Sus scrofa: one gene and its partners. The protein of the gene in region 4 interacts with the protein of the main gene of each other region in a biochemical or structural test. Links are inferred from orthologs where the notes say so. Each region holds a gene or a part of one and is shown on either strand. Other genes may lie near its edges.

Region 1 (3,800 bases), on a different chromosome or scaffold from region 4:
TCAGTGGGAAAATCAGTGCTGTCATTCAGGAGGGGGCAGGTATGGCTCCAACAGATGTCGTTTACTACCAGGAACATGTATTAAAACTTCTGGAGTTCCTGTCGTGGAGCAGCGGAAACAAATCCAACTAGGAACCATGAGGTTGCGGGTTCGATCCATGGCCTCGCTCCGTGGGTTAAGGATCCAGTGTTGCCATGAGCTGTGGTGTAGGTCACAGATGCAGCTCAGATCCCGAGTTGCTGTGGCTCTGGCGTAGGCCGGCAGCTACGGCTCCGATTAGACCCCTAGTCTGGGAACCTCCATATGCCATGGGTGCGGCCCTAAAAGGATAAGCAACAACAACAAAAAAAAACTTTTAAGAGATTGGGAAACGGTGATTCTTTTAAGAGATTGGGAAACTTTTAAGAGATTGGGAAACTGTGATTCCTCAATTTAATAAATGGGCCTTTGGTAGATAGAGTGTAACCAACTTATATCTGTTTACTCTAATGCACTATTTAATAGTTATTTTATGCATTTTTAATGAATACTAAATATTAGACCTATTACGATCTAAGTTCAGGGTACATTAGAAAAAGCGTATCATGTCACCTACCACTGATATATGTAAAGGTACAATATAGAGCTGCAGAAGAAAAATTCCTTCTGAAACTAAAAATGCATGAGTGATACTAGGCCTTGCCTGCTATCTTTTAAGAAAGGAAAATAGTTAAATGACTTCAGGAAATACATATACATATATGTATATCCTTTTAATAACCTGGTATGTCATCTTCTATTCCTCACTTAGTATAAGGCTCTATTACTTTTGCCATTTAAAAAACGTTTCTTTTTTTTTTTGCCTTTTCTAGAGCTGCACTCACAGCATATGGAGGTTCCCAGACTAGGGGTCTAATCAGAGCTGTAGCCCATGGTCTACACCAGAGCCACAGCAACGCCAGATCCAAGCCGCATCTGTGACCTACACCACAGCTCACGGCAATGTGGGATCCTTAACCTACTGAGCGAGGCCAGGGATTGAATCCACAACTTCATGGTTCCTAGTCGGATTCGTTAAACACTGAGCCATGATGGGAACTCCCATTTTAAAAACTTAAGAAAATTAAAACAATACAGAAAGGTAGGCAGATGGGTGGACAGATAACCAGATTGTTATACACTCACTCACACATTTATATTTTTCTCCTGAATTGTAAAGTTTGACTATTTCAGTGGTTTTTTTTCTTTCTTTTTTAGAAATTTATTTAATTTTTTTTCCTTTTTTCCGTTCTAAAGCTTCTCTTTCAAGACCCAAGTCCTTGCTGGTTTCGTCTCCATCCACCAAGCTGCTGACTCTGGAGGAAGCCCAGGCGCGAACTCAAGCTCAGGTCAATTCTCCAATTGTAACTGAAAATAAATATATCGAAGTAGGAGAAGGACCTGCTGCACTTCAGGGAAAATTTCATACCATAATTGAGTTCCCACTTGAAAGGTAAAATTCAATAAATCCTCCTTAAAATTTTGAGTTTCTGGCTATGTATTCTTTTCTTTTACTGTTACTTTTATGTTTAGTTAATTTTCTGCCAGTCCCAGAAAAACCTGTTCATTCTGCTATGGGTATTACTTCATAGGGACTGGCATGAATGAGTCTCAAAAAGCACTACGACGTTGTGTCATTGTAAAGGAGAGGAAAGTCAGTTGTTATCAAGGGAAAATTGTTGGGAAAAATGATATACTTCCACTCTGTAGGCTGTGATTTTCTCTCTGAAATATGTTGTTGAGAAGTTTATTTAGAAATAAACTATTGGAGTTCCCATCACGGCGCAGCAGAAACTAATCCGACTAGGAACCATGAGGTTGCGGGTCTGATTCCTGGCCTTGCTCAGTGGGTTAAGGATCTGGCATTGCCACAAGCTGTGGTGTAGGTCGCAGATGTGGCTCGGATCTGGTGTTACTGTGGCTCTGGCGTAAGCTGGCAGCAACAGCTCCTATTCGACCCCTAGCCTGGGAACCTCCATATGCTGTGGGTGCAGCCCTAAAAAGACAAAAGACAAAAAAAAAATAAAAAAGAAATGAACTATTGTGACAGCTTATTCCAAAAGTAATGAATAAATAATGGCTTGTTTGACATTGGTTCCCATTAAGTCTGGGATAGATCAGCCCTTCACACAGTGCGAGCTCCTGGCCAGCAGCTCACTCTCGGGCCCACCCCAGACCCACTGAATCTGAAGTCTGGGGTGGAGTCCAGCAAACAACCTTTTGATAAAGACCTTCCAAGTGGTTCTGATATGTGCAAAACTTGAGAACCACTGTTGTTCACTCTCTCAGTGTCCCTTCTAGCTCTGATTCTCTGTTTCTATAAAGAAATGTATCTTCTTTACCAAGTTATCGTGGAAAGACTAATGGGTGCAAGTTCATTTTGGTCTCAGTTACTCCTTTAGCTATTACACAGGAATGTCAGGATTTCAACTCCCAGGATGGGGGAGTACTAATAAAGGTGCAGAAGTTGTTTCCATATCTTAGTGTACCTCTCCAATGTCCTTTCATTTCTCTTGATTAAAATGGCCCGCCAGGAGTTCCTGTTGTGGCACAGTGGTTAACGAATCCAACTAGGAACCGTGAGGACACGGGTTCTATCCCTGGCCTTGCTCAGTGGGTTAAGGATGCTGTGAGCTGTGGTGTAGGTCACAGACGTGGCTCGGATCCCGCCTTGCTATGGCTCTGGCATAAGCAGGCAGCTACAGCTCCGATTGGACCCCTAGCCTGTGAATCTCCATATGCTACGGGTGCGGCCCTAAAAAGACAAAAGACCAAAAAAAAAAAAAAAAAAGTCCCACCAACAGAAACTTAGAACATACTCTTTTACTTTGTCATTCTGACAAATTCAGCTTCTTGAATTTATATTTTACCTCTATAATTTTCTCATGAACTTCTTTATAGAACAGTGAGCAAGAGTGTTGATGCTGGGATACAGATAACCCTGAGCTGGAGCCCTCACCCCATCATTTACTAGGTTTACATTAAGGAAGTCATACTTCTTAGATCACAGTTTTTTCCTTAGCTGTAAAATGAAGGTAATAGTACCTATCCTATTTGGTTTTATATGACTTAAATGAGATGCTACAGATACAGTTAGCATAGTGCTTGGCATTCAATATATGTCAGTTATTATTCTTAATACTTTTCTTCTTTTTTGGCTTAACTCTCTTTACCCACGCCTGAAATCATTTTCTTCAACTCCGTTTTATTTTTGAAGTTTTAGTATTGCCTTTTCTCACTTATTTCACAGATTGCGACGTTGGATCTAAATATGACAATCTGTATAAAAATTATCTTCGTGAAACTAGTTCCTGTTATCAAAGTCCATACATTTAATTTCGTGTTCTCTCTTGCTCTCGCTGCACAGTTGAGCCACACTGGGTGGCGTGCGCCTTGGGACGGTGGATATTTACCGCATCAGCGGTGGCTCTCCAGGCTGTGTGGTTCTGTCCTTCATTTGCTCCTTTTTAGGAGGGAAAGATAGACCCTGGGAAATCTGGATAGAGATTATTTTTTTTTCTCTCATAGGAGGAGGCCTCAAAATAAAATGAAAAAATCTCCCGTGGGCAGCTGGCGTTCCTTCTTCAACTTGGGAAAATCCTCATCTGTTTCGAAGCGGAAGCTGCAGCGTAATGAGAGTGAGCCCTCGGAGATGAAAGCCATGGCCCTGAAAGGTGAGTCTTCTCTCCTGCCTTCGCTCTGCCGCCTCAGGAGCAGTTTGTGTCCTGTCGTGATGACCCTTCTCGTCGCGATGAGCCGCCTCCTACCCTGGACACACGTTC
Region 2 (4,228 bases), on a different chromosome or scaffold from region 4:
TTAACCCACTGAGCAAGGCCAGGGATCAAACCCGCAACCTTATGGTTCCTAGTCAGATTTGTTAACCACTGAGCCACGACAGGAACTCCCAAATTATGCATTTTCTAGAAAAATCCATGACCAGAGATCCCAGTTATTTGTCATTCTGTTGTGCGGCAAGATGGCATGAGAAGAGTCAGGTGGGATCATTAATTGACTGTTTGTGGCGGGCTCTAGTATTTAATTGACCACTGTGTGCTGGATATTGTGTTCCAAGTTTTAAAGGCATCCTTTTAACGCAAACTATCCCTGACATGGCGGCATTACCCCACTTCGCAGTCGAGGTAATTGAGGTTTGGGGAGCGCTAACTTCCCCAGGGCCACCGAGGCAGGGAGAGTGGAGCAGGATTTTGAGCCCACCACAGCACATCTTTCATAGGAGTGACAAATTGGATTTGAGCACTGCCCTCCCTGCCCTCCTGTCCCTTCCTATCCAAACGGCTGACCACACAGCCAACCAGAACCAAACCCCCTTCCACAAGCCTCCACTTCTCCCAACAGTGACAGGCTTTCAAATCCAGCCTGGACCTCAATGATTGTAGTTTGGAAAACAGCAAATTGTGTTGGCCCTTCTCTCTTTTAAAAATGAGAAGCTAATGTCATTTTCTGTTTGAAATCTTGCCCATTTCTTAATAGAAGGACTCAATATGGGTCAAATCCTTCCTTTCCCTTTGATGCTTGGCTCGAGCCCCTCCCAGCCCTCCGCTCCCATAGCGCTTGGAACTTTGGCATTCATTTGGCATTGCTCGTCACTCGCCTGCTGACCTTCCCTGCATTCCTCCCGCAGCCTGTTAGCAGGATACGCTTCCCTGTGTCCCAGAGTCTTTGGTACATTAGGCACAAAATGCCTGTTTCTCAACGGTTCTTTTCTTTTTCTTTTTTTGGTCTTTTTAGGGCCGCACCTGCGGCACCTGGAGGTTCCCAGGCAAGGGGTCGAATCAGAGCTACAGCTGCCCACCTACGCCACAGCCACAGCAACGTGGGATCCGAGCCACATCTGCGACCTACACCACAGTTCATGGCAACACCAGATCCTTAACCCACTGAGCAAGGTCAGGGATCGAACCTGCAACCTCACGGTTCCTAGTCGGATTTGTTAACCACTGAGCCACGACGGGAGCTCTTCTCAATGGTTTCTTAAAGGATACAAAAAAGCAAACTATTCCTCTCCAGGGAGGAACTTGACGGGTGTGGATCCTGGCACCCAGAGCAAAGCCCTGGCTCCTTTTTGCGTTTTCTCCAGTTTTCCATGACTTGGGGATGTTAGTGTGTCCCTGTTCTGAGAATCTGGTATTCGTTGCCTGCATGAACAGTTTGAGTCAGACCACAGAGTCCTCCCCATACAGGACAAGAAGCTCCAGAACTTTCCATCTATATGTGCCAGCATCACCCTGCCTGTGTTTTGGCTCATCTGTGAGTTGGATGACTCTCCTTGAAGCAGGACAGCCCCATCATCCTGCTGATAACAGTAATCAGATCTCATAGCAAAGACCCTAGTTAGGCAGGGCAAACAGGGAGGCAGCCCGGGTTATTGATTTGTGCTGTGGAAGGTTCTTTTCCATTGAAGGTTGAATATTTTGTGTGGAAACCTTTGTATTCCCTGTACCCAGCATATTTCTTCTCTGCACGTTATGGGAGGTAAGTCCTTTTGAGTATCTCCGTTATCTTATTTGCTTAGTCAAAACCTTGGAAGTAAGGTTTGGGAAACACATTAGCCATATTTAGTGTATGCAGTGGGCTCAAAAGTTTTACTCATTTTAGATAACATAGGAGAAAGTGTAAGTTATTTCATAGTGTACCAACCATTTTCAATGGTGTTTTTTTCCTATCTTTCATATTGCCTGCTATTTAAAAAATAGTTTCTGGAGTTCCTGTCATGGCGCAGTGGTTAACGAATCCGACTAGGAACCATGAGGTTGCAGGTTCGATCCCTGGCCTTGCTCAGTGGGTTAAGGATCCATCGTTGCCGTGTGCTGTGGTGTAGGTCAGAGACTCGAGGCTCAGATCCTGTGTTGCTGTGGCTGTGACATAGGCTGGCAGCTACAGCTCCAATTAGACCCCTGGGAACCTCCACATGCCACAGGAGCAGCCCTAGAAAAAGGCAAAAAAAGACAAAAAAAAAAAAAAACCCAATAAAAAATAGTTTCTCCCTGGGTACCAACATTAGCTATAGAGGATGTTTTTCTAGATAAAAATGACTTACTATGCTGTGCGTTTTCAACTTAATCTTTGCATTTGGAAAATAATACTCTCTGGGTAGCTTTGAAGATAATAAGAGACATGAGAATGCACAGATGCTTCTGCACCAGTCCTAAGGAGGGCTTTTCCAGATGTGGAATGCCGCTGGGGATTTGATCTGGCTTGGATAATTGACAGCTGCCAGCCTGTAATCGTTTGTGCTCAATTGGCGCTGGGGCCACAGGAGGCCACACAGCAGCTGGGCTGTTGGGATTCAAGTCCCTGCACATGGCACTGACTCTCCCCTTCCCACCCACCCCCCAGCCATCTGCAAGGACCCCACTCCCCAAAGCAGGGTGCACTGCTCCAGGAAGGGAAGGGAGCCTGTAACTTTTGCCTGGGAGATGAGAGAAAACATCTTGATTCACTCCACTGGACCACAGTGGCTAATCAGGGTTAGCTTTTTATTGCATTGACTTTGGCGTTTTAATCTTAAATGATTCAGAGACCAGTTCTTAAGATGAGGCAGGACCATAAATTAAAAGATTGGAGGATATCAGCCAAATAGAAAAAAGAATCCTCTTTCAGGGCCTTGAAGAAGGGCCTGTTCCTTGTCCCAGCTCTTTCATTTTAGTGACTGTTAAACCTTATACCGAAACCAAGTTAATGGCTTTCTGCCCCTTCATCGCATCCTGGTTTGCCCGCCGGGCTAATACCACCTGCCCTCCCTCCTTCACAGGCTCATTCTGAGGATCAGAGAAGTTAATGCAAATGCTCTGTCCACTGTCAAAGCAATTGAAATAGAATGCACAGATGCGTCAAGACACGGTCTCTGGTCGGCACTGTCTCTGTCTTGCTAATGCTCTTCCTCTTCTGAATTATGGCCTCCATCGTAAAGGCTTCTGATAATAGTAATAGCTATCATTTGCTGAGCCCTTTTTATGTGCCAGGCGTTGAGCTAAATGCTTTCCAGGTCTTGTTTTATTTAATCCTCCTGATAACCTCACCGACGGGTACTCATTTCTTCAGTTCATATAAACCGGCTTCTGAATCCATCATGATCTTCCAGACCAGCCCAGGCACTTGCCTTTCATCTGCTTTCTAAATGAGGGAGCTACATCCTTCATCTTCAATTTTGACGTGTTTAAAATGATTTCGAATGTTACCAATAGTTGAATCAGGAGTTCCCGTCAAGGCTTAGTGGTTAACGAACCTGACTAGCATCCATGAGGATGAGGGTTCAATCCCTGGCCACGCTCAGTGGGTTAAAGATCTGGCGTTGCCATGAGCTGTGGTGTAGGTTGCAGATGCAGCTTAGATCCCATGTTGCTGTGGCTCTGGAGTAGGCTGGCGGCTGCAGCTCCGATTAGACCCCTAGCCTGGGAACCTCCATATGTTGTGGGTGCAGCCCTAAAAGACAAAACGACAAAAAAAAATAATAATAGTTGAACCATTTTTTAATGTTGGAATGCACCATAAAGGCAGAAAGCCTGGTGTCCAATTGTAGTCACTGAGGAGAGTGAGAGAGCGAAGAGAGGGCAGAGTCGGGGGAGAGGAGAGAGAGAGAAAGAGACAGAACACATGATGAAGAGAAAAAGATGCAGTTTTTTTGTGTGTGATGCGAATAGTGATTTTCTAATATTTTATATGCAGCTAATCCTTAAAAGAATATCATTAATTACTTAATGGGCTTTTGAGGTTCATAGAGCAGGAGCTTTGGAAGTACATGACCTTGATAGTCTTCATAAGAGCTTAGAAGATGCTTCAAGTGAGACAGTACCCAGGACTTCAAAACTTTGCTGAAAGAGAAGTGATTAAAATTGGGGGGAGGGGGTGTGGACAAGACGCGTGGAGGTGGGATGAGAAGGGGGTTTGAAGTGAAAAAAATGGCTTCAGAAAATCCGTTCCCAAACAACTCTCCTTGTCATCACCTTCCTCGCCTTAATGAATGGAGTGCATTTTGACTTTGGCCGTGGCAGGTCCCTGTCTGACTTGGACAGTGAGCGGACAA
Region 3 (3,800 bases), on a different chromosome or scaffold from region 4:
TGACAGTTGTAGCCTGCTCTCGTCACGCAAAAGCAGCCAGTGGTAGGACTAGGCCTGTGTCTCAGGAAGTTGGTTTCCCTGATTTTATGGCTGTATCTATGGCATGTGGAAGTTCTTGGGCCAGGGATTGAATCCGAGCCACAGCTGCAGTAATGCCCGATCCTTTAACCCCCTGTGCCCAGCAGGGGTCGAAGCTGCCGCCTCGAGCCTCTGCATTTGGAGGAACCCGCTGGGCCGTGGTGGGGATTTCAGGAATTTTCTTTGTTTTTTTTTTTTTTTTTACAAACACGGGGATCGGTCCCTAGTTTGGCCGAGCCCGGGATCAGCAGGCAGTGAGCAGTACAGGGCCGCGTGTTGCCTTCCTCATCACCACGCTGCCCGCGCAGGGGACGCCTCCTTTTGTAAGACTCGGGCATCTCTACCAAACGGAGTGCCTTTTCGCAAATGTGACTCGGTGGCGATTAAAGGTGGTGGGTGGCCTGTCTGGGTCTGGCCCCCCAGCATCCTGCTGTTCGTGACCCAAGCTCGGCCGTGACCTGAAGCAGGGCCAGGGGCACCGGCTCCCCGCTTGGCCCAGGTGGCCCAGGAACGGAGTGCCCGGAGGTTGGGCGAGGTGCTCGGGATGCGGGGTTACCTCCCTGGGACGGTTTGAGCGGAGCGAACATGCCGGGCGGGGGTCCTCTGACGGTGACCGGTGTGTCTGCTCTCCCCGCCCTGTCCTCGCAGCTCCCCTCCCACTCCATCACCCCGTCCAGCAAGCACGCAGACAGCAAGCCGGCGCCGCTGACCCCCACCTACCACACGCTGCCCCACCCCTCCCACCACGGCACCCCGCACACCACCATCAACTGGGGGCCCCTGGAGCCTCCGAAGACCCCCAAGCCGTGGAGCCTGAGCTGCCTGCGCCCCGCGCCGCCGCTGCGGCCCTCGGCTGCGCTCTGCTACAAGGAGGTGAGCTCCGCCTCGGCCGCGCGTCCGCCCAGGGAATCCCCGTGTTTCTGCCGCGACTTGAAAGATAGATGAGCTGCTTGGGGCCTGTGAGGGGTCTGCCTTCGTTCTTGTTCCTGCTCCGAGGTGCGGGGCCCGCTCCGTGCCCCTGGCGGAGGGGCCGTGTCTGTGCCCACAGGGCCAAGCTCAGTGCCCACTGCCTGGAGGCCAGGGAGCACTCCGCTGGGTGTGGCCACGAGCTGGCGGGTCCAGGGGACCGGACAGCTTTTCTCTGTTCGTTTTAAATGAACGCCTAGCGGCCGACAGAGGAAAATCAGGAGTGGGGGGAGGGGCGCTGCCCACCGGCCGAGTGCCCACCAGCTCACGGCGTCACGGCAGCACCGCGCCTCTGCCCGCGGGCCTCCCCCTGCAGGGCTTGCTCAGCACGTCCTCCCCCTTCTCCCCAGGATCTTAGCAAGAGTCCCAAGACCATGAAGAAGCTGCTCCCTAAGCGCAAGCCCGAGCGGAAGCCTTCGGACGAGGAGTTCGCGCTGAGGAAGAGTGAGTGCGGGCGAGGGCCCGGGCCGGCAGGCACGGCGTGGGGACGGGGTGGCGGCTTCCTGGAGTCTCGGGCGGCAGTCAGCGCCCAAGCCACAGGGCCAGCGATGGACGCTGCCGTACCGACCCCACAGCCCCCGTGTGCCGCAGAGCCCAGGCCGGGTTGGGACCCCGTGGCCGGGGGCCCTGCTGTGGGGCCGGCCTGAGCGCCCCCGTGCCAACTTGCGAGGAGCCAGAGGCAGCCTGGCCTTTAGGCCCCGGCCTCTCGGCCTCCCACACAGAAGATGCTGGCTGGACCATGTGGGACCAAATAGAGTCATTTCTTGGTGCTGACGCCTACCTCTGGGCAGTGTTGGGCCTGCCCCGTGTGTGTGTGTCCTACCGTGGCAGATGGTGTGGAGGTTGTTGGCACAGCTTATAAACACTTCGGCCTTCCATCCTTCCTGCGTTGTTTTTTCAAAATGTATAGGTAGGATCTCAGAGAAGGGGAAAGCCTAGTGAACAGAAAACAGAGTGTAAGCCCCGACGGTGTGAGGTGTGCTGGGCCTGAGGGTCTGAGCCTGTACACGCCTGTGACCTCGCGGGCCGGTGGAGCCAGGCTGGGGGAACCCACGGTTTACGGTGGAGCCGTCGCACACGTCCTGGATCGCGTCCAGCAGGACTTTCCCGACGAGAGGAAGTGCTGCTGCTGACGCCTTAGCCCCCTTGGTCAGGTGGCCCTTCCAGGGGTCACTCCTCCCTCCCAGATGAGGCTGGAGGGGACTTTTCCATTCCGGATTCGCTCGTGCTCCTGAGGACGCGCGTGCGTTCTCGTCTTCGTCAGGGGATGTGTGAGAACAGGAGTTTTAATTTTTTTTTTGGTCTTTTTGTCTTTGTTGTTGTTGTTGTTGTTGTTGCTATTTCTTGGGCCGCTCCCGCGGCATATGGAGGTTCCCAGGCTAGGGGTCGAATCGGAGCTGTAGCCACCGGCCTACGCCAGAGCCACAGCAACGGGGGATCCGAGCCGAGTCTGCAACCTGCACCACAGCTCACGGCAACGCCGGATCGTTAACCCACTGAGCAAGGGCAGCGACCGAACCCGCAACCTCATGGTTTCTTGTCGGATTCGTTAACCACTGCGCCACAACGGGAACTCCAGAACAGGAGTTTTAATTTTCACTTCTTTTCTTGTGAGAATGAGCATTTTTCTTTCCTACTGTGTCCTCTTGTGAATGGTTTGTTCCTGTTTCGTGCCTTTTTTCACTGTCAGGATAGGGCATCCTGTGCCTTGGGGGTGAGTGAGGCAGCTCATGTGTATTTAGCGTAGGAACGCTTTGCCAGATAGGTTGCAGATAAAAAATACGTAGAACAGGAGCTCCCGTTGTGGTGCAGCGGGAGCAAATCTGACAGGTGTCCATGAGGATGCAGGTGCGGCTCCTGGCCCTGCCTAGTGGGTCGGGGATCTGGTGGTAGTGTGAGCTGTGGTGCAGGTCGCACATGCGGCTCAGACCTAGTGTGGCTGTGGCTGTGGTGTAGGCCGGCAGCCACAGCTCCAACTCTGCCCCTAGCCGGGACCCTCCATATGTGCGGGTGTGGCCCTAAAAAGACAACACAACAGCAGAAACAAACAAAAGTCCTTTAGGATGTAACTGTTTTGTGACTATTGGAAAACACCTGTAAGCTGTCCCTGTCATTGGTTAATGATCCGCATTCCTGGGTTACCTGTGCTGGTTGTTTCTGGCCGGTGACGTGTCGTGTGTCCTTGCAGGCACGGCTGCGCTGGAGGAGGACGCCCAGATCCTGAAGGTCATTGAGGCTTACTGCACCAGCGCCAAGACGCGCCAGACGCTCAACTCGAGTGAGTGCCCAGGGACGGCCGGGGCCCCGGACTGGCTCGGCTGAGCAGTCCGTCCCTCATGGGGGCGCATCCTCGGCCAGCACCCCTGCATCGTGGGGATGGGCCTGAGCTGTTCAGTAAAAGAGCTGATTTCTAACAAGCGCTCCACTGGGAAACCTTGAGGTGTAAGGGCCGGCCAGATTTAGAAACCCTGTCAGGCTTAGAAGGCAGTGGGGGGAGTCTGTCAGCTCAGAGTGTGCCGGTGGTGTGTTGGTTTCTGGCTACTTAGAATTGTTGCCAAAAACATAAGCCTAGGCCATTCCTTTTGTGGCTCAGCTGTAACGAACCCAACTACTATCCATGAGGATGCAGATTCGATCCCTGGCCTCGTTCAGTGGGTTAAGGATCTGGTGTTGCCGTGAGCTGTGGTGTGGGTTGCAGATGCGGCTTGGAACTGGCGTTGCTATGACTGTGGTGTAGACCGGCCGCTACAGCTTCA
Region 4 (4,258 bases):
CTACAGGTGCAACCAGGATCATTACAGAGACTTTAATATTCGCTTTGATTTGTAAAGGGGAAAAGCTTGAGTGAGATGAAAGTAGTTGTCTCACCTTGGTTCTTAGAACGCCAGATTCTCTGTTGTTGGAAGAGCTAGTCTTTCAGTTTTTATTGGAAGCATTGTGATAAACACTGGAAATGCTGCCACCTCTGGGGGGGCCTCCTCCACACGCGGTGGGGGTGGGGGAGGGGGTGCTGCGGGTCTTGGTGCGGTGGCACATTCAGGCCAGGCCCCGGCCTTGCTGCCCCGGAGGCTCACGGTCACAGCTCTGGCCTGGCCGCCTTCCTGGGCAGCCCCGTCCCACAGGCCCCGCTGTGTGGATGGGCCCCTTTGCTCTTGGCCTCCGGGCCTCGTGTCCGCGAGCTTAGCGGGAGAGCTTGGCTCCGTGCCGGCTGCCTCTCCCATGTCCTCCGCCGCCTTCGAGGGCACCTTGTCATTCTGCCGGGAGAGGAGCCGTCTGCGGCGGCTGAGGGAGGAAGGAGCTCCGTCTGCTCCCCAGGACTTGCCCGACCGGTGCCCCCACCACCAGTGACCTTCACAGGGCCCCTCGTGCCCCGTGGCCAGGGTGACGGAGGGATTCAGTGACCCTGGGTGGCGTAGACCTGCTGGATCGTCATCCGCTTGCTCCCTGGGAGGGTTGAGACACCGCCCAGATGAAGAATGAGTAACGGGTTATGTTGACTGTTCTCAGTTTTTACTAACCTCAAACCAAGTTCTCGTGCATTACTAGGTTGGAGAAACGTATGGTAAGGATAGACCCTCCAGGGGCAAAGACAAGCGCTTGCCGTATGTAAAACTTTCAATCGACTTCAGTTTCCAGCTTGATCTGTTCTCTCGTTTCACTTAGTTTTCCTAGGATTTCCCGTCGAGCCTCCCGGTCCTTGAGTGTTTGACCTCTGATTCACTCAAGGTTGAGGTCGGCTCGATGAAACGTGCTTTCACTGGAGCCCATGGTCGACCTGCTGGCCTGAATCAGAGCCGTTCCCAAGCTGCTTTCTCCCCTCCTCTCAGGGCACGGGGGCTTTGGTGGAAGGGGCCCTCTCCAGGCTGCTGGGGAGACGCGAGGCTTCACCCTGGCGCCCCGGCCACGGGCTTGGCGGGAGCGGGACTAACCACCCTGGCGGCCCTTCCCCCGCTTCGGTGTTGGGTGCGGGCCTGTCCGGCGGGCGGGCTGTGCGCTGCTGAGCTCACCGGCCCCGCTTGGAGGCGTGATCAGCCCAGGGCCAGAGGCCGTGGTGGTTCCTGGGCAACCTTGTGCATGCGCTCAAATTTCATGTCATTTACAAAACGCTGTCGTGTGGGAGGTCGCTCCCTTCCAGGTACAGGGTGTCAGCTGAGGATTGAAAGTGTGTGCACTTCACAAAGGAGTGTCATTGCCCTTTTCCAGGAAAATAGTTCATAAACCTAGCATTTTAGAAACTTTGGCTTATTTTTTTTTTTTAAAAAGGATGTGTAAACGTTTAAATCTCACCTTTTGCACAATAAAGTGCATGTTCTCCAGAGGCCCTGCTTGGGCCTGAGAAGCCCTGACAGCCGGCGAGACGCCGCTTTCACACGAGGCCGTCCTCCCTCCCGAGGGCCAGCGGGTGAGCGAGGACCTGAGACCCACCTTGGGCCCAGGGCCCTGACGGCCGGTCCTTCCTAAAAGCAGTGTAGTTGGAGCCGCGTGAGCCCCTAGAAGTGTTTGGACCTAATGTTCTGATGGGGACGTAATGAGAAACGTAGCGTTGTAGATGATGTTTTTGAAATGGATTCTACTTTTGAGGAACCGAGACCAGGTTTTAAAGAAATGCAGGCGTAGCACCTTGACACAGGATTTTGTCCCCAGGCAGGAACAGCATTAAGCTCCCAGGCAGAGCTGGAGTGATGGAAAGAGGCCTGTCTGTCTGTGGCCTCCAGTAACAGAGCGTGTCTTGTGCTCCACTCCCAGTCTCACCAGTAACTTGTGCTTCACGTGCTGGTTCTGGTCTGGGAGCGTCTCGACCAGAGAGGGTGCAGGGAGCCGGCTCGCGCCTCAGCTGCTGGTGCGCAGGACGAGCCGGGGCTTCTGGCGCTTTCCCCGCAGCATTTAGGAAGCAAAGTGACTTCGCCACGCCAAGACCATTCTCTAAACGCCTCCCTGTGTTTCTTTTTACAGGACGTATTCTTAATTTGCTTTTCTCTTGTGAGCCCTGCATCTTTTGAAAATGTTCGCGCAAAGGTAAGTGGGATATTTTATTTTTATTTTTTATTTTTTCGTCTTTTTGTTTTTTCTAAGGCTGCACCCTTGGCATATGGAGGGTTCCCAGGCTAGGGGTCCAATTGGAGCTGTAGCCTCTGGCCTACACCACAGCCACAGCAATGCGGGAACCGAGCCGCATCTGCAGCCTCCACCACAGCTCACGGTAACGCCGTATCATTAACCCGCTGAGCAAGGCCAGGATGGAACCCGCAACCTCATGGTTCCTAGTCGGATTCGTTTCCACTGCGCCACGACGGGAACTCCAGCAAGGTGACTTTAGTATGCAGAGTTCTCAAGTTTCAGGGCCGATGCAGAAGTGCTGGGTTCCTTGTTAAAATAACGAGGCAGTTGGGAGCCAGGTGAATAAAAATGACGGACTGGCGGCACCGGTGGGCTTGGTGGAGATGACGGCGGTGGGTCAGGGATGCGTCTGGCGGGGAGGAGACGGTAGAGCTGAGTCCTGAGTCCTGCTAGTTTGGTTCTCATCCTCGAATGTGTGAGGGGTTTTGAAATGACCTAAGAACTTGACCAGAAACCAAAAACAGAGTGGCGGGCGGGGGGCTGCCTCGCCGGTCCCACGGTGCAGTGGTTGGTGGTTCTGGAGGGGAGCCTGGCCGAGGGCAGCGTGCTGTCCCCTGCAGGAAGGCTCCGTGGCGACGCAGGGACTCGGGATTGACACAGCTTGGCACCGGTGTGGCCGTAATCGGCGGGAGGGCGGCTCCCACCAGAGTCGTGACTTTGCTCCTGTCCCCGCGCCTAGTGGTACCCAGAAGTGCGACACCATTGTCCCAACACGCCCATCATCCTGGTGGGGACGAAGCTTGATCTCAGGGATGATAAAGACACGATCGAGAAACTGAAGGAGAAGAAGCTGACTCCCATCACCTACCCGCAGGGCTTGGCCATGGCGAAGGAGATCGGTAGGAAACCCCGCGGCGCCAGGTCTGCTTGGCCCGCCAGAGGCCGGAGTCCCGCCCGGGGAGGTGGACCCGGGTCTGGCCGCCCCTGCAGAGACCCGGCTGAGCCGGGGGGTGGGATGGGGGGGCGAGGCCGAGGCTGAGAGGCCGTGTTCCGTCCGGCAGGTGCTGTGAAATACCTGGAGTGCTCGGCGCTCACGCAGCGGGGCCTCAAGACAGTGTTCGACGAAGCCATCCGAGCGGTTCTCTGCCCGCCCCCCGTCAAGAAGAGGAAGAGGAAGTGCCTGCTGTTGTAAACGCCTGGGGCCCGGGGCGGGGGCCCGTCCCGCCCCGAACCTTTGTCTGCTTTGCTCAAATGTGGAGCCTTCGCACTCAATGCCAAGTTTTTGTTACAGATTAGTTTTTCCATAAAACCGTTTTGAACCAATCAGTAATTTCTAGGTTTTTCTCTGTTTAAAGTGTAAGAGTTTAAACTTTCACATTCTATTAAAGTTTAGCCCTAAAATGACAAGCTTTCCTAAAGCCTTATTTTTCAGAAGCCCCTGTTCTTGCTCAGATGAAGAGTTGCCAAAATCCCTTGTGAGCCAAGTTGCGTTGTTGGGCTGAGAACACTAAGCACTAAGCTGTTGACAGAGACCTCTCTCCCTGCGAGACCGTCCCTTCCGAGGCCGGCGGCTTTCCACCGTGAAGGGCGGGCGTAGCGCCTCCTTCGCGAAACGTCGCCACGGAGCGCACCCTCGTCTATCCGCCCGTGCCCATGACCTGACGTTGTACTGTGCGTCCTGGCGAGGAGGTGACAGCGCAGCTCTCTGCATCAAGCTCTGATTGCGTAGTGAGGGTTTCTTTAAGCGATGAGTGTACTAGCTTTCGTGAGCCTTGAACTGAACTCCTGCTCACGTGTTCCCTCCGGCGAGGTGTTCTGGCCGTGGGTGCGCGGGGTGGAGCGTGGGGAGCGCCTGTGATCGAAGGATGAAGACAGTATTTTGACAAGATACGGAGGTTAATTTACACTACATTGTACACGAAATAGTGAAACTATTGAAAGTGTCACGGGTACAAGTTTTAAAAGGTTGATTGC
Region 5 (4,234 bases), on a different chromosome or scaffold from region 4:
AACTGTTTGTGAATGGGACCAAAAATCATTCAAAGTTTTTGAAAAGTGATTGGTAAAATATGCCAATATGGCAATATGACTTATAAACAGAATAAAATTTGTATGGTAAACTTAAGAGCTTAAGCACTAATTTCTGATTTTGTAATAAACTTTTGCCTGTTTTTCAATGAGGGTATTTTGTTTTCATAGGTTTTCAAGTATCTCACTTTAATATTTTGAAGGAAGAGTGGATAAACTAAAAATTGCTTGAGCAAAAAGCCCGGGGCCAGGTTGTGAAGTAGCTTATTTGGCATGCTAAGGAAGTTGGACCACATCCTGAAGGGAGTATTAGCAAAAGACTATAAAATGGAGGAACACGGCCGTGTTTGCACTTTAGAAAGAACAGGGAGTTGGTTGGCATGAGGGAAAACAGAGGTGATGACAATCTAAACAATGTAATCACAGTAGTGATGGAGACAAAATCAAGACACTTCAGAAAAAAATACCGATTGCCTGTAGGGCGTGAACCAAGCGCGAAGTTTCGACTGAGAACTGAGCACCATTAACAGATTTTAACAGGAGGAGGGTCAGTGTTTGACACGTTTAAAATGTTCGTGGGCTTCACAGGTTAAAATGTCCATTACACAGCGGAAAACGATGAGCCAGGGCTTCTAGAAAGTCTGGTCTGAGAATTACATTTAGAGTTCCTTAGCATTTTAAGGTGAGCGTGGATAAAGCGGGCAAAGAAAAAACAGAAGAGGGCTGAGCACAAAATTCCGTTGAATTCCAATATTTTCAGGGCAGGCCACAAGTTGCAAGGGAAGAGGCATCCCTAAAAGAGGCAAAGAGTGCCCTAAAAAGAACTTGCAAAGAATAGTGGCAAGGAAACTAAGGGAAGGAAGTCTGGACAATTCTCCTGCTCTAGCATCCACTTCTCAAATACTTAGGGGAGTTAAGCAGTTCAAATCTGGCGACTGCTGGCGAATCTGGGAGAAGACTGAGTCAGACTGCCAGACTGTGCAGCCCCTTAAGGCAGTTTGGGTCTTGCCTCTGTTCACAACAACACGCTGAGCCACTTCAAAGGAGGCCTTCCCTGAGCACTCGGGTGCAGAAGAGTTTGGCTAGGCAAGCAGGAGAAGGAGGGTGCCCACATTTTTTATTTCAAGCTACCGACACTGGTGGCCTTTTTGTAGGAGGTGCGGTTGGGGCGGCGGCCGGCGAGGGCAGGGATCCAGAACGGGTCGGGGCCTTGTCAGTGGAGCGGAGCTGACAGCAAGATTGGCGGGCAGGCTCCACCTTCTTCCTTCCGCCTCTTGAGGGCGTAGCGGGCGCAGGGCGGGGGCTAGTGGAGGCGTTGGGAGGGTCAGGCCCCGCCTCCTTTCGCTCACTCTGGTCAGCGCGGCAAGGCGGGGCCGCTGGGGCGGGGCCTGCGGGTGGGGCCGGCGGTGTGGGGCGTGGCCTTCGGGTGGGGCCGGTGGCGTGGGGCGGGGCCTGCGGGACCAGGGCAGCCCGCGCACTGTGCAGGAGCAGCAGCCGCCGCCGCCCTCGCCTCCAAGGTTTTGCTGCTTCCTGAGCAGAGACCCGGGCTCGGCCGCCATGTCCGCCACGGACGAAGTTGACGGACTGGGCGTGGCTCGGCCACACTATGGCTGTGAGTGCGGGCTCCGCAGCGCGGGGGTCTCGGGGCCGGGCTCGCTGCTTCCGAGGCGCCGTTTACCCGGGGGCTCGCTGGGCGGGTGGGGCAGGGTGGCTGTGGGCCGCGCGTACCCGGAAGAGCCGGTGTCGCGGGGTGGCGGACGGCAAGGACCCTAACCCGCGCCCCCTCGGTCTCCGAGGCGGCGGCGGGGGGGACCCAGGCGACCTCCCCGCCTTCTCCCGGGCGCTGCGGCTGGAGGGCCCCACCCAGCGCCTCCCGCTACTCAGCTTGGCCAAGATTGGGGAGACGGCCTAGGGTGAGGTGGCAGGAGGACGGGGCAGGGCGTGTCCCAGGGACCGGAGACGCGGGCTCTGCACGGGCGTAGTGAGAAGGTGCTGCCCGAGTGCTGCCTGCGAGGTAGACTCAGGGTCCAGACCTGCCCGGCCCCAGGCTAGCTGAAAGGTGCGGTCTTGGGCAGGTCACTTCAGCTTTCTCGGGATCCCTCTGCAGGATTTCAAAAGTGGAGGGGAAAAAACCCCAAACCTCCGACTTCCTCATTTTCCGAACCTCATTTTCTGTACCTGTCCCACTGAACTGCGGGCGGATTAGTTACCACTGGGCAAAGGAGAGGCCTTTGGAGTCTGGAGGTTTTCGATTTTATTTTATATTCTATGAATAATGTTGTGTTTTCAGATACTTTCACTCAACAGTTATATACGACGAGGTATTGTGTCACGTTGGTGACAAAGATGAGTAAGACCAGACCCTGCCTTGAAAGAATGTTTTTATCAGAGAGACAGGCAGGTGTACTATCTAATGATAATAAGGAGTGATAGAGATGCCCTGCACCAGCTGGACTTACACTATAAGGTGGGGGTGGGGGAGGGGCCTGGGGAAGGCAGGAGGAACCCAGAGAGGACTTTTGAACAGAGCCCTGCAGGATGCTGTGCGTTTTGACAGGGCAGGGTGGGGCCTGAGACGTGACCTGAAGAGGAAGAGTGTGAACTAAGGTATTGACGAGCAGAAGAGCCCTGTGCGGGTTGGGAACTGAGCGGTGTGGAGTGCACAGTGGTAGGGGGAGGGGAGGGAGAGGAGTTTCCCAAAGCAGTCCGGCTAAACTGGGACAGGCATTGAATGCCAACCCCAGGAATTTGGAGTTTATTCCATATCCTGGGTGCCCATAAAGGGAAGCAGATTCCTTTGAAGTTAAGCTCATAGGCTTTTGAGACAGACTGGGTGTGAATCCAGGCCCCACCATTTAGAAGCCATGGGGCTAAGATCACCCAGCCTCACTTTCCTCATTTGTAAAATGGGAGTGATAATCACAGGATTGTTGTGGGGCTTCCCTAAGAGAATGCATGTAAAATGCAGATCACAATTACACCACTTAGTTTCTCAATGACTGCTGGCTGTAATTATTAATACAAGAGGGAAAAACATGAAGAGCTCTGGATTTAGAAGGAGTCTGGCGGATAGACCAGCACAGATTTGGACCAAAATCTCAAGTCAGTATTTTTCAAGTCACCCTGAAATTTAGTACATGTTCATAATATTGTAGTTTTAAACAAAGATTAGGATGCATATGGTCGAACTCTGTGGTTCCTGTCTTAGGAAAGTCCCTGTAGGATGCCTGGCTGTGCACACATTACCCTGACTCTAGGTGGCTAGCAGGAATTTGATGCTGTGGCATTCTTTTATCACTCAGGAAGGGTACAGATTCTTGTGCTGACCTTCTTTCTTTCATGTTCTAGCTGTCCTGGATAATGAGAGACTTACTGCAGAGGAGATGGATGAAAGGAGACGTCAAAATGTGGCTTATGAGTACCTGTGTCATTTGGAAGAAGCAAAGAGGTAAAGATTGGCTGGCTGGAGAGAAGATTGGGAGAAGGGAGCTGATAATGGTGTGAACAAAAATAAAGATCTCTGGGTATGTTGTAGATGTGCCTGTAGGAGGCTGGTAGTTGGAAGAAATAAGTAAGTATAGATAGGATAGGGTATTTTTCTTTGTTTCTTTTTTTTTTGTCTTTTTGCCTTTTCTTGGGCTGCTCCCATGGCATATGGAGGTCCCCAGGCTAGGGGTCTAATCGGAGCTGTTGCTGCCAGCCTACGCCACAGCCACAGCAACAGCAACGTGGGATCTGAGCCTTACCTTTGACCTACACCACAGCTCATGGCAATGCCAGATCCTCAACCCACTGAGCAAGGCCAGGGATTGAACCGCAACCCCATGGTTCCTAGTCGGATTTGTTAACTATTGAGCCACGATGGGAACTCCGAGGATACGGTATTTTTCACAGGAGCAAGTAGCCTTCATGGCACTTTATCATGAAACAATCTGATGGGCACATACGTATCCTAAAAATTTCCATATTTGTGTTTTGCAGTTTTATGCTTATGGTGCATGTTTTGGGCACTACCAGCTCTAGGGGAGAAATAGCATTTTTAAGATTTGAAGTTTTTGGCCTTACCATTTCACTGGTTCTTCACCGGTTTTGTTTTATATATGAATTGGGTCTCTTCTCCCCTTGGTAGTGCTCTGGGTATAGGTCCATCCATTTGGCAATATTCAAAGGCTGTTTACCAAGGGCAATGTCCTCTGCATTCTTTGTGAAGTAAATG
Region 6 (4,299 bases), on a different chromosome or scaffold from region 4:
GCTGGGCCCACCCTGGAGGGGTTCTCCCTCTGGGCTGCAGGAGGGAGGGAGGAGGGAGGCTGAGGGGTGACTGCCTGGGAGGGCCCCGGGCCCAGGCCCCCCTCCCCCTCTGGCCTGCCCAAGGCACCTGAAGCTCTGGGGACTTCTGGCTGAGGTCAGCAAAGGCATCCCCCAGTGCATGCTGGGTCTGCAGCAGGCTGTAGAGGTGGGCTGTCAGGGCCCGGCCCAGCTGCAGGACACTCTCATACTTGCGCTTCGTCTCACGCAGCAGCTCAATTTGCAGCTCTAGCTCCAGGTCCACAGTCCGGGAGCCTCGGCCAAACCGCTCTGATAACAGCTGCTTTGTGCACTGAGTGGGAAGTGGGGGAACAGGTCAGAGACCCTGGCGCCCGGCCCTGCCCCGCAGCAAGTGTCTACCCCGGCGTCCCCAGACTCCAAGTCTCAGCCCGAGATGATGGGACAGGAGGATCCGCAAGATGGGGAAGAGGTACCCGGGGGAGCTCAGGGGGCGGAGGAGGTGCGTGAATCCCACCTTATACGTGTTGATGCCCCATTTCTTGACGATGTCGAACTTCTCTCCAGCGATGCCCCGGGCCACCTCATCCCCGGGGCCAGCAGGAGGGGCGCTGTGAGATGGATGGCGGCCAGACCCTAAAGGACCAAGTTCTCTGACACCAGCCTCTCTCAGACACAATCCGACGCCTCTGTGGTTCCACCCACACTTCCCTCCCAGCACATGAAAATGACGCCCCGGAAGGAGCAGGGCTGGAGACTCACTAGGAGGAATTCATGCCTTGGACCCTGAGACCCAATCCCAACATACACCTGGCCTCCTTTTGACGTGGAGGTGAGGACTGGAAAGGGAGGTGGGAGGGGTTGCTCGTGTGCAGGGGCAGAGGAAACAGCGGAGACTAGGCTGAGAATGGGGTCGCTGACCATGGCTGGGCGCCCCTCGAACCGAACACCTGGCTGACATTCCCATGTGGATCCCAGTCACTGCGAGATTCAGGGCTGCTTGTTCCTCTAAATAGCAGAGTCTAACGTAAGACTCTGATAAGCCTCTCAAAGCTCCAAATCAGATTCAAGCTCCAGAGCAGGGGAGGCCTGGTGAACAGAGTTCTCTGCCTGACTCAGGTAGTGACGGCAGAGAAGGGACAAGTGGGCATATCTGAGGGACAAAGTGGCAAGTGGAGGCAGATGGACACCCCTGGGAACGGGCCTTGGGCTGAGATGCCCGCGGGTTCATCCTGGCAGAGGTTCCCACGAGCTCCAGACATGATTCACGCCTTCTTAGACGTATCCTATGCCCCCTGGAGCCAGTCCTCTTCCCCTCTCCACTCAATGCCCTATCCTGCTCTGATCATTCATACCTGTGGGGATGAGTCCATCACCAGAGCCCCCATAGCCACCAGACACAATGCTGGTTTCATTGAGGTTGGGTCCTGACACCATCACCTGCTGGAGGTCCTATAGGCCAGAGAAGAGGGGGGCTTCAGGAACATATGGGCAGCTGAAGCATTTTGGGGGTGAAAACAAGCTTGGATTGAAGCATCATAGAGAGAGCACACAAGGGAAGTCTGCACAGAATCAGAACAAAGATTGGTAAAAAGACTGAAGGAAATCAGGTGAGTTGGGGGAAGGCTACTGGAAGAAGGAGAGAGCTCAGGGTTTAAGAGTTGGGATTCCTCAACTGAAACAATGTGAAGAATCAAACAGAAGCACCTGCTCCAGCCCATCATCCTCAGGAAGCTGCCCCGCGTCACCATTCCCGTGGATGGGGATCTCCATTGTGGCTGCCTTCCCTAGGATCCCGTCCGTCATGGCGAGCGAAGGGACTGGAGTCAAAGTCTCCACCCCAGCGCCCTGCAAAGCCCAACACAGACAGTTCTGGAAACGGGCCAGTTCTCCGAAGAGGAAGGTCTCCCCTGCCCTTGCAGAGGCCGTCCCGGGGCTTCAGTGTGGTGGGGTCTGCCCACCACTCTTCCCTCGGGGCTTTGTCTTTCTCCCTTCCAAGGTGCAAAGTTTTACACACAGGCACCCAGGCCTCAGGTGTGCCTGACCAGAGGTCATGTTCTCATGACCCCCCCACCCCCACCCCCCCAGCAGTCCAGGGATCATTCATGCATTCAGTCCTTCCACAGACATTTAATGAGTGCCTACTACATGCCACGCACTATTTGAGGCAATGGAGAGAAAGCCTGTGCTCTCAAGCAGCTTATCCCCACGCAGGTATTCCTCCTCATCAGGAGACAATCCCTTTCCCAGCGCTCAGGTGCCTATCCCCGTTCAGGTATGTTCGCCATTGTTTGGCCTTTCACACTCCTCTAATGTCTCCTCCTCTTTCCTGCAGGTGGTCTCCCCCTCCTCCATCCCATGCACCCCCTCTTCCTGCCCCCACCCCCGCCCCAGGCCTTAGTTGAATCAGTTGGTGTAAGTTCCCGACCCCGGGGAAAAGTCCCTTTGCCCCAGGACATAGGGAGGTGATCCCTTCCAAAGTCAGTTAGGTCTCCCCAGGTGTGTGAGTCTCCGCCCTCCCCCCATACACCTGGGCGTCAGGTGTGTCCTCATCCTTTCCCAGGGCTCAGAAGCATCTTGCCCTCAGGTCAGGTTCGTGCGTTCACCTTGCCCTCGCCCATGCACGTCCCTCTCACCTCGGGCCGGGCCGCTCTTCCCCTCAGGGCGCCAGGCCCGGGCCGCGCGGGGATCTCGGGATCCAGTTCCCGTCGCGATCCTAGCAGCAGGTCAGGGACTCGGCGGAAGTGACGTCCTCTCCCGGGCAGAAGAAGCCGGCCACGTAGCCGATTATGAGGGCGGAAGTGACGTCGCGGGGAGGTGGGCGGGCGCTCCTTGAGCCAACCCCTCTGCCCCTGGGGAGCCATTGAGGTCACTTCCGGGGCGTTCCCTAGAAGCTGTAACGGAAGTGACGTAGGTTGTGCGCCGGCGGCGTGATGGAACAGCAACAGCAGCAGCAGCAGCAGCTGAGAAACGTGAGTGGGAGCTAAGTCGCTTAAGGGCCCTGCATCCAGCTAGCATCCCTGTTCGCATGGCGGAAACCCCAGAGAGCCAGGCATCCAAGGGCTGGGAACCACGGGCCGTGGTACACGGTCCTGGGAAAGCGCCGGCAGCGCGGCCTTGAGTTGAGACGTGGCCCCCTCTTCGCTGAGTTCCTTGTCCCCCTTCCTCCCCAGTTGCGGGACTTCCTGTTGGTCTACAATCGGATGACGGAACTCTGCTTCCAGCGCTGCGTGCCCAGCCTGCATCACCGAGCTCTGGATGCCGAGGAGGTTAGGTGGGGGAACTGAGTAGGGAAGTGCTCCTCGAGCCTCAGAGCTAACCGTGCACTGCTTCCCTCTCCCGTCAATTCCCCTACGTCCGGCCCTGGCTTCCCACGACCTCCGCCCTGAGGCTGGGGATGGGAAGGAGGGAAACGGACCTGACTGGACACCTTTGGCTTCTACTTCCACCCTGTCTTCCTTCCAGGAGGCCTGTCTGCACAGCTGTGCCGGGAAGCTGATCCATTCCAACCACCGCCTCATGGCCGCTTACGTGCAGCTCATGCCTGCCCTGGTACAGCGCCGCATCGCTGACTACGAGGCTGCCTCAGCTGTGCCAGGTGTTGCTGCTGAACAGCCAGAAGCCTCGCCATCTGGCAGCTAGCTGTCCTCAACGCTGAGAAGGGAGGCACTGGATGGACCCTCACGTTGAAGGAGCAGTGGACCTTGGGCAAGATGGAGCCTGTATGTAGAGAATGAGGAGTTGCCTGAGAGCTAGGTACTGTTGCTCCTTTTCCTGGAGCTAATAAACCTGCTGTAATCTGTGCGGTTGATATTCTGGGCAGGGAGAAGTTGCCTTCTGTGTGTGGAAGGAAAACCTCAGCATTCCCAGGCACCTGGTTAAAGGAAGGTCTGTGGGTACAGCTTTAAAATTGGCAACAAGACGCTGGTTCGTGCCCAGACGGCAGAGAAAATGGGAACTCTGTCCTTAAATCTGTCTGACTTAAATGGTTCGCTTAGAGATATTAAGGACCATGGATTAAGAAACCACAGGGCTTTTAGGCACTACCTCTTCGAAAGTCAGTAGCCCCAGACAGATGAAACCTATAGGACTTCTGGGTGTTCTAGAACGTTAACCACTCCCCCAAGTTGTTACTTTCTTAATACTCCCAGAAATTGAGCAGTAAATCCTTTAAACCGAGGAGGTCTGTGTGCTCGTCTTCAGGAGCAGTCAGGGGAAAACTTGGGGAGCCATGTTCTGCACTATAGTCAGACTCAAGGGAGAGAAAACCACAGAAGTAGAGGG
Region 7 (4,546 bases), on a different chromosome or scaffold from region 4:
CGTGGCATATGGAGGTTTCTAGGCTAGCGATTGAATTGCTACAGCTGCCAGCCTACACCATACCCACAGCAACATGGGATCTGAGCCTCCTCTGCGATCCATACCACTACACCACAGCTCACGGCAACGCTGGATCCTTAATCCACTGAACGAGGCCAGGGACTGAACCTGCAACTTCATGGTTCCTAGTTGGATTCGTTTCTGCTGTGCCCTGGGAACGTCAAGAAATATTAGTTGGATGAACAAAGGGACTGGATATTTGAGCTGGGCTTTGTAGAATGAATAGGTGTTGGCCAGTGAGATAGAGCAGGGCTCAGAGACACGAAGACATGTTTGTCCAAAGAACATTAAGTAGTATTTCCGTGTGGCTGGAACAAAAGATACCACGTAAGATGAGGCTAGAAAGGCTGGTGTAAGCACCAAGGTTGTGCAGTGCCACATTAAGAATGTGGATTTTATTGTGAAGCACAAAACCCTTTGAGAGTATTTAAAGAGGGAAGGCTTTCGTCAGATTTGTCGTTTTAAAAGGTTACTCTGGTCACTGGTAAGTACGGTTGAATCTGGAAGACTGAAAGCCGCTCTAGTTGTCTAGGTGATGGCAGTGAGTGAAGAGAAGGGCGAGATCTTGGGAAATATTTAGGAGACTCTACAGGACTCGGTGACAAATTTGATGAGCGTTGAGAAAGAAGAATGGGGGTTTCTGGCTTAGTGTACTGCTGAATGGTGGTCCATTCACCAAGACCAGAAAGTAACATGAGTCACAAGTTTTGGGGAATATTGTAGTAGGAACAGTCTACATTCCAAAGGGCTTAATGGTGCTAAATTGCACTTACTATTATTATAAAACGGTGACTCAGATCAAGTTACCCATACACAGGTACAACTTAAGGAGAAACTGTGGCTTAGAAATGTTAAGATCCTATCACCAACATCTGTACAGCTGGAATCTGAAGCAAGGCAACTTAATTCCAAACCCTTAGTCACTAACGTTGTTTCAGTTTTGGACATGGGGAATTTGAGGTACAGTGCAAACATTTCATTAGGAAACGCAGAATCTGAACTCAGGGAAAAGGTTTGCGTAGAATGCGACCTCCGTTGGTGTAGGAAGGCGCGAAAAGCTGCCCATTCTTTTCTACCAGAGCACAATAGTTGAAACCTCCATTAACATTTCTTTGCCCCTCCTCCAAGAAAGCCAACAGTGTATTAAATGTCCAGTTCTGAGGTCACAGGATATGGGGTAGCTTCCAAACTCAGCGCTTGGCAACAAGCTAGCAGATGCAGTGGTGCTTTATAACCAAGAGGACCACAATCCTATGGGATTGGCTGTCTTTTTCGACCCCGATTCCACCACTGTCGCCCCTTAACACCTCCCACAAACATCCTGGGGAAAGCCCGCCTTAAAGGAGCCTGCAGCTGTAGCGAGCGATAGCACTCGAGGAGAGACGGGGGCGCAATGACGTCATGCGGCAGCGGGTGATTCCCCAGCCTCTGGCGTCACGCGCCAATGACGTCATTCCAGGCGCTGGCCCTCCCCCAGGCCTGGGTTGGCTTCGCTCACGTGGGTCGGTCCAGTCCTCCCCGCCCCCTCCCACCTGCAGGAGGCTGGGCGGGCCTGGCTGGGCCGGAGCCTCGGCCTCGCGGGGGAGGGGGCGGGGGGCCGGTGGGCGAGGCGGTCCGCCCGGCCCGGCGGCGTACAATAGCTCGGCGGAGGCCGAGGCGGGGGCCCGGGCCGGGGCTTCAGCTGGAGACCCAGGTGTCGGTAGCACCGCAGACGCCCCCTCACGGTTTCCCCCCACAGCCCCCTCCCCCTCCGCCCGTCCGTCGCGCCTCCCCGCCGCCTCCCTCAGCAGCTCCGCCGTCCTACTCGACAGACGCTTTCTCTCAGACTCTTACCCCCTCTTTTGCGGAGCCCCTCAAAGAACCCTCTGTCTCCCCACCTCCTCCCCCGGAGGCCAGTCGAGCCCCTCGCCTCTCCAGCGGCCGGAGCCGCACCTCCTCAGCGGCGTCGCCGGGCTCCCTCCCTCCCCCACCTCACCCCCGGGTCGCTGACCACCCCCGCCCCCGCCCGGTCCGGAGCGGACTCCCCGGCACCAGCGAGGCGGGGAGGCGCCGAGTGCGCGGCGGCGGCGGCTGAGGCGGCGGGAGGGGGAAAGTGAAGCGGCCCCTCGCACACACTCGCGCGCTCGCTCCCCCGCTCGGCCGCCGCCGCCGCCGCCGGCGTGGAAAAGGAGGAGGAACCGAGTGGAGCCGAAGCTAAGCGCGGAAGGTGAGAGCCGGCCTCCCGCGCGGTACCCTTGGCGTCGCGCGGTGCGGGGGCGGGGGCGTCGCGGGGCGTGGGGCCCATTCATTCCGGCTGCAGGGCTGGGCGGGCGGGGGGCGCCAGGTGAGGCGAGGCGGGGGCGTCGCCCCTCGAGGCTGGCCGCCGCTGTCGGACCAACAAAGGCTCCCCGTGCGCTCACCCGGGCGGCCGCAGGTCTCAGACGCCGGGGGGGGGGAGCTGAGGGACCCGGCGGCGGGCCGAGGCGGGGAGGGGTCGGGACCGCTGGTCTGGGTCCGGGACTCCCTCCCGAACTTTGCGGCCCCCCGACGGGGAGCCTAGCAAGGCAGCGTCAGATTCATTGTGCACGAAAGAAATCACCCCGGTCCAGGCCAGGGGGGCGGGGGATCACGTCTAGGGTTCAACTCCTTGAAAAATACTGGATGGTGTTTGACTCACGCGGCCCCTCCCCCACCCCGGGAAGACGCTCACTTGTGGCGTTAAAAACAAACTGGGAAAGGAGAATTGTGGCTGTTTCATGTTGATTATTCCATTTCAATAGGCGCTATTATATCCTTTACTGTCTGGAGTAGTTTCACAGCAGACATTGCTGGGGTGTTTTGGAAGAACACTGGAGACGTTCTGGGTGTTTGGAAGTGTGGAGAGCCAAGTGCTTGTTGTTTGTTAAGCCCTTTGGATAACTGTCTTACACTTTCTCCTCCCACCCCCCCGCCCCCGGAACAGTGAAAGGTGAAGGCAAGAGTTGGTACCCTGGTACCAATAAACATTTCAAATTCACTAGTTTAGCCTTTAAGAGTTGTTTCTGAGAAAATGTGTAATTTTGCCTCCGGTGTCTTTGGGCTCTCTCTCGACTTGGTCAGGAGAAAAAGGAGTCAACAGTAGACACATGCCTCATTGGTCTTAACTTGTGACTTCACCTACTTCCTGTGTGACCTTGAGCAGGTCACTTCCAGTCTTACCGTTCCAGGAACTTGTTTTTGTGCCCTCGAAGCAGGCGGGTATCCACCACCTACTTAGCTTTCAGGAGTCTGCGGAAGAATTACCCCCATTAGAAGTCTTTGCTGGCACCACCCCCATACTCCTCTCAGGCAAAACTTTCTCTTTGGGCCCCTCAGAGGCCTGCTTGGATTTCTACCACAGCACTTTTTTTGTTCACATTTGGTAAATCCTGAATCAGGTGCGAATGAAATCAGTCTCTCCTCAACTAGAAACTATACTTCTCAAAAAGGGTTTTGGAATCATGGACCCCGAAACATTCCCTGAAGCTTATCCATGTCCTTAACTTTTGTGAGCTCTTGGGTCTGTCTGGGAAATTTGCCTATTTAGTCATTGATTTACCCAACATTGCTGGGATCTGAAGAGCTACTGTTTCAAGTTTCCTGCTAGGGCTGTGGGGATTTTGAATCTATTAAGATATTCCCTGTCTTCACAGAGCTCAAAGTCTAGTGGGTGAGGTAGCCATGTAAACAGTGAAGGCCTTCCGTCCTCTCTGGGGGCTCCAGTTGTACAGGGAGCAGTGTGCAATAATTGAGGCTGCTGGACCTGTTTTACAGGTCTTGTCCTGGCCAAAGTGAGACCTGCGGGGAAGGTGGTGACCTGCCTCTCATCCATAAGATAACACTTGACAAAGAGCTTGTTCAGTTTAATTCAGTATACACTTACTCAGCACATGTTATGAGGTTCTGTGTTAGGTTTGGAGGAAGGAGTGCTTTCTACAAGGAGGGCACTGTATATCCAGAGAGATCTTTGTAAAACAAAAACCAATCATTTCTCCCCACCCTCAACTGGTCATTTGCTAAAGAAAAATTTTAAACTCTGATATGAGTAGGAACCTCTTGGAGGTTAGAGTACTGCCTACCTTTGCAGAGGCTCATTTTCTATAACCCTCTGCCCCCCTCTTCTCATCTCTGCTTTTGCATGTGTTGTTCTTTTTGCCTGGAATGCCACCTTCTACCTGCCTGTGGAGAAGCACTTGTTGGACCTCTGGGAAGCAGTCCCTTAGTTTCTCCTTCTATTATCTCCGTAGTAGAGTTGCTCTTCTCTATTCCATGGCTCATGTACAGACCACTCTTATAGGTCCCTATAGCACTCTATTGCAAATGTCTAAGTTTGTGCCTGTCTTTTCCATTAATCTGTGAATTTCTTGAGGGCAGGATCAGTTTAGTTTCAATGTCTACTGAAGTTCCTGGTGCTGAATAAGTGTTGGAAATGAATGTAAGAATGAAGAAGCAAGTCAAGACCCATAAGTTAGAGGTTACCTCATTCTTT

What was found.
Region 1: of the proteins of RAC1 (region 4) and ARHGAP32, one has a biochemical effect on the other in vitro, tested with the Homo sapiens proteins (3 studies listed by BioGRID). The link is inferred for Sus scrofa from reciprocal best matches to the Homo sapiens genes RAC1 and ARHGAP32.
Region 2: the proteins of RAC1 (region 4) and CHN2 form a complex in vitro, tested with the Homo sapiens proteins (2 studies listed by BioGRID). The link is inferred for Sus scrofa from reciprocal best matches to the Homo sapiens genes RAC1 and CHN2.
Region 3: the proteins of RAC1 (region 4) and ARHGEF7 form a complex in vitro, tested with the Homo sapiens proteins (2 studies listed by IntAct). The link is inferred for Sus scrofa from reciprocal best matches to the Homo sapiens genes RAC1 and ARHGEF7.
Region 5: the proteins of RAC1 (region 4) and IQGAP1 form a complex in vitro, tested with the Homo sapiens proteins (3 studies listed by BioGRID). The link is inferred for Sus scrofa from reciprocal best matches to the Homo sapiens genes RAC1 and IQGAP1.
Region 6: the proteins of RAC1 (region 4) and ARFIP2 form a complex in vitro, tested with the Homo sapiens proteins (2 studies listed by BioGRID and IntAct, with this or other methods). The link is inferred for Sus scrofa from reciprocal best matches to the Homo sapiens genes RAC1 and ARFIP2.
Region 7: the proteins of RAC1 (region 4) and PAK1 form a complex in vitro, tested with the Homo sapiens proteins (17 studies listed by BioGRID and IntAct). The link is inferred for Sus scrofa from reciprocal best matches to the Homo sapiens genes RAC1 and PAK1.

The regions. Positions count from the first base shown.
Region 1 is NC_010451.4:55,918,039-55,921,838, reverse strand, and holds part of ARHGAP32 (rho GTPase-activating protein 32), read left to right. Parts: coding exon 1-39; intron 40-1,275; coding exon 1,276-1,471; intron 1,472-3,546; coding exon 3,547-3,692; intron 3,693-3,800. UniProt on the Homo sapiens protein: GTPase-activating protein (GAP) promoting GTP hydrolysis on RHOA, CDC42 and RAC1 small GTPases. May be involved in the differentiation of neuronal cells during the formation of neurite extensions.
Region 2 is NC_010460.4:43,439,538-43,443,765, reverse strand, and holds the start of CHN2 (beta-chimaerin), read left to right. Parts: upstream 1-1,233; 5' UTR 1,234-1,670; coding exon 1,671-1,677; intron 1,678-4,084; exon of another isoform or gene 4,085-4,228.
Region 3 is NC_010453.5:77,514,196-77,517,995, forward strand, and holds part of ARHGEF7 (rho guanine nucleotide exchange factor 7), read left to right. Parts: intron 1-726; coding exon 727-951; intron 952-1,394; coding exon 1,395-1,488; intron 1,489-3,232; coding exon 3,233-3,322; intron 3,323-3,800. UniProt on the Homo sapiens protein: Acts as a RAC1 guanine nucleotide exchange factor (GEF) and can induce membrane ruffling. Functions in cell migration, attachment and cell spreading. Promotes targeting of RAC1 to focal adhesions. May function as a positive regulator of apoptosis.
Region 4 is NC_010445.4:4,782,483-4,786,740, reverse strand, and holds the end of RAC1 (ras-related C3 botulinum toxin substrate 3), read left to right. Parts: intron 1-772; coding exon of another isoform or gene 773-832; intron 833-2,179; coding exon 2,180-2,242; intron 2,243-3,023; coding exon 3,024-3,183; intron 3,184-3,345; coding exon 3,346-3,476; 3' UTR 3,477-3,688; downstream 3,689-4,258. UniProt on the Homo sapiens protein: Plasma membrane-associated small GTPase which cycles between active GTP-bound and inactive GDP-bound states.
Region 5 is NC_010449.5:53,019,056-53,023,289, forward strand, and holds the start of IQGAP1 (ras GTPase-activating-like protein IQGAP1), read left to right. Parts: upstream 1-1,423; 5' UTR 1,424-1,575; coding exon 1,576-1,630; intron 1,631-3,366; coding exon 3,367-3,466; intron 3,467-4,234. UniProt on the Homo sapiens protein: Plays a crucial role in regulating the dynamics and assembly of the actin cytoskeleton.
Region 6 is NC_010451.4:3,248,518-3,252,816, reverse strand, and holds the start of ARFIP2 (arfaptin-2), read right to left. Parts: upstream 2,807-4,299; 5' UTR 2,652-2,806; intron 1,864-2,651; 5' UTR 1,822-1,863; coding exon 1,723-1,821; intron 1,468-1,722; coding exon 1,371-1,467; intron 652-1,370; coding exon 533-651; intron 350-532; coding exon 128-349; intron 1-127. Other genes in the region: TIMM10B (mitochondrial import inner membrane translocase subunit Tim10 B), read left to right, coding at 2,949-2,987, 3,189-3,284, 3,481-3,657. UniProt on the Homo sapiens protein: Plays a role in constitutive metalloproteinase (MMP) secretion from the trans Golgi network. May have important functions during vesicle biogenesis at certain cargo subdomains, which could be predominantly utilized by secreted MMPs, such as MMP7 and MMP2.
Region 7 is NC_010451.4:11,970,197-11,974,742, reverse strand, and holds the start of PAK1 (serine/threonine-protein kinase PAK 1), read left to right. Parts: upstream 1-1,668; 5' UTR 1,669-2,266; intron 2,267-4,546. UniProt on the Homo sapiens protein: Protein kinase involved in intracellular signaling pathways downstream of integrins and receptor-type kinases that plays an important role in cytoskeleton dynamics, in cell adhesion, migration, proliferation, apoptosis, mitosis, and in vesicle-mediated transport processes.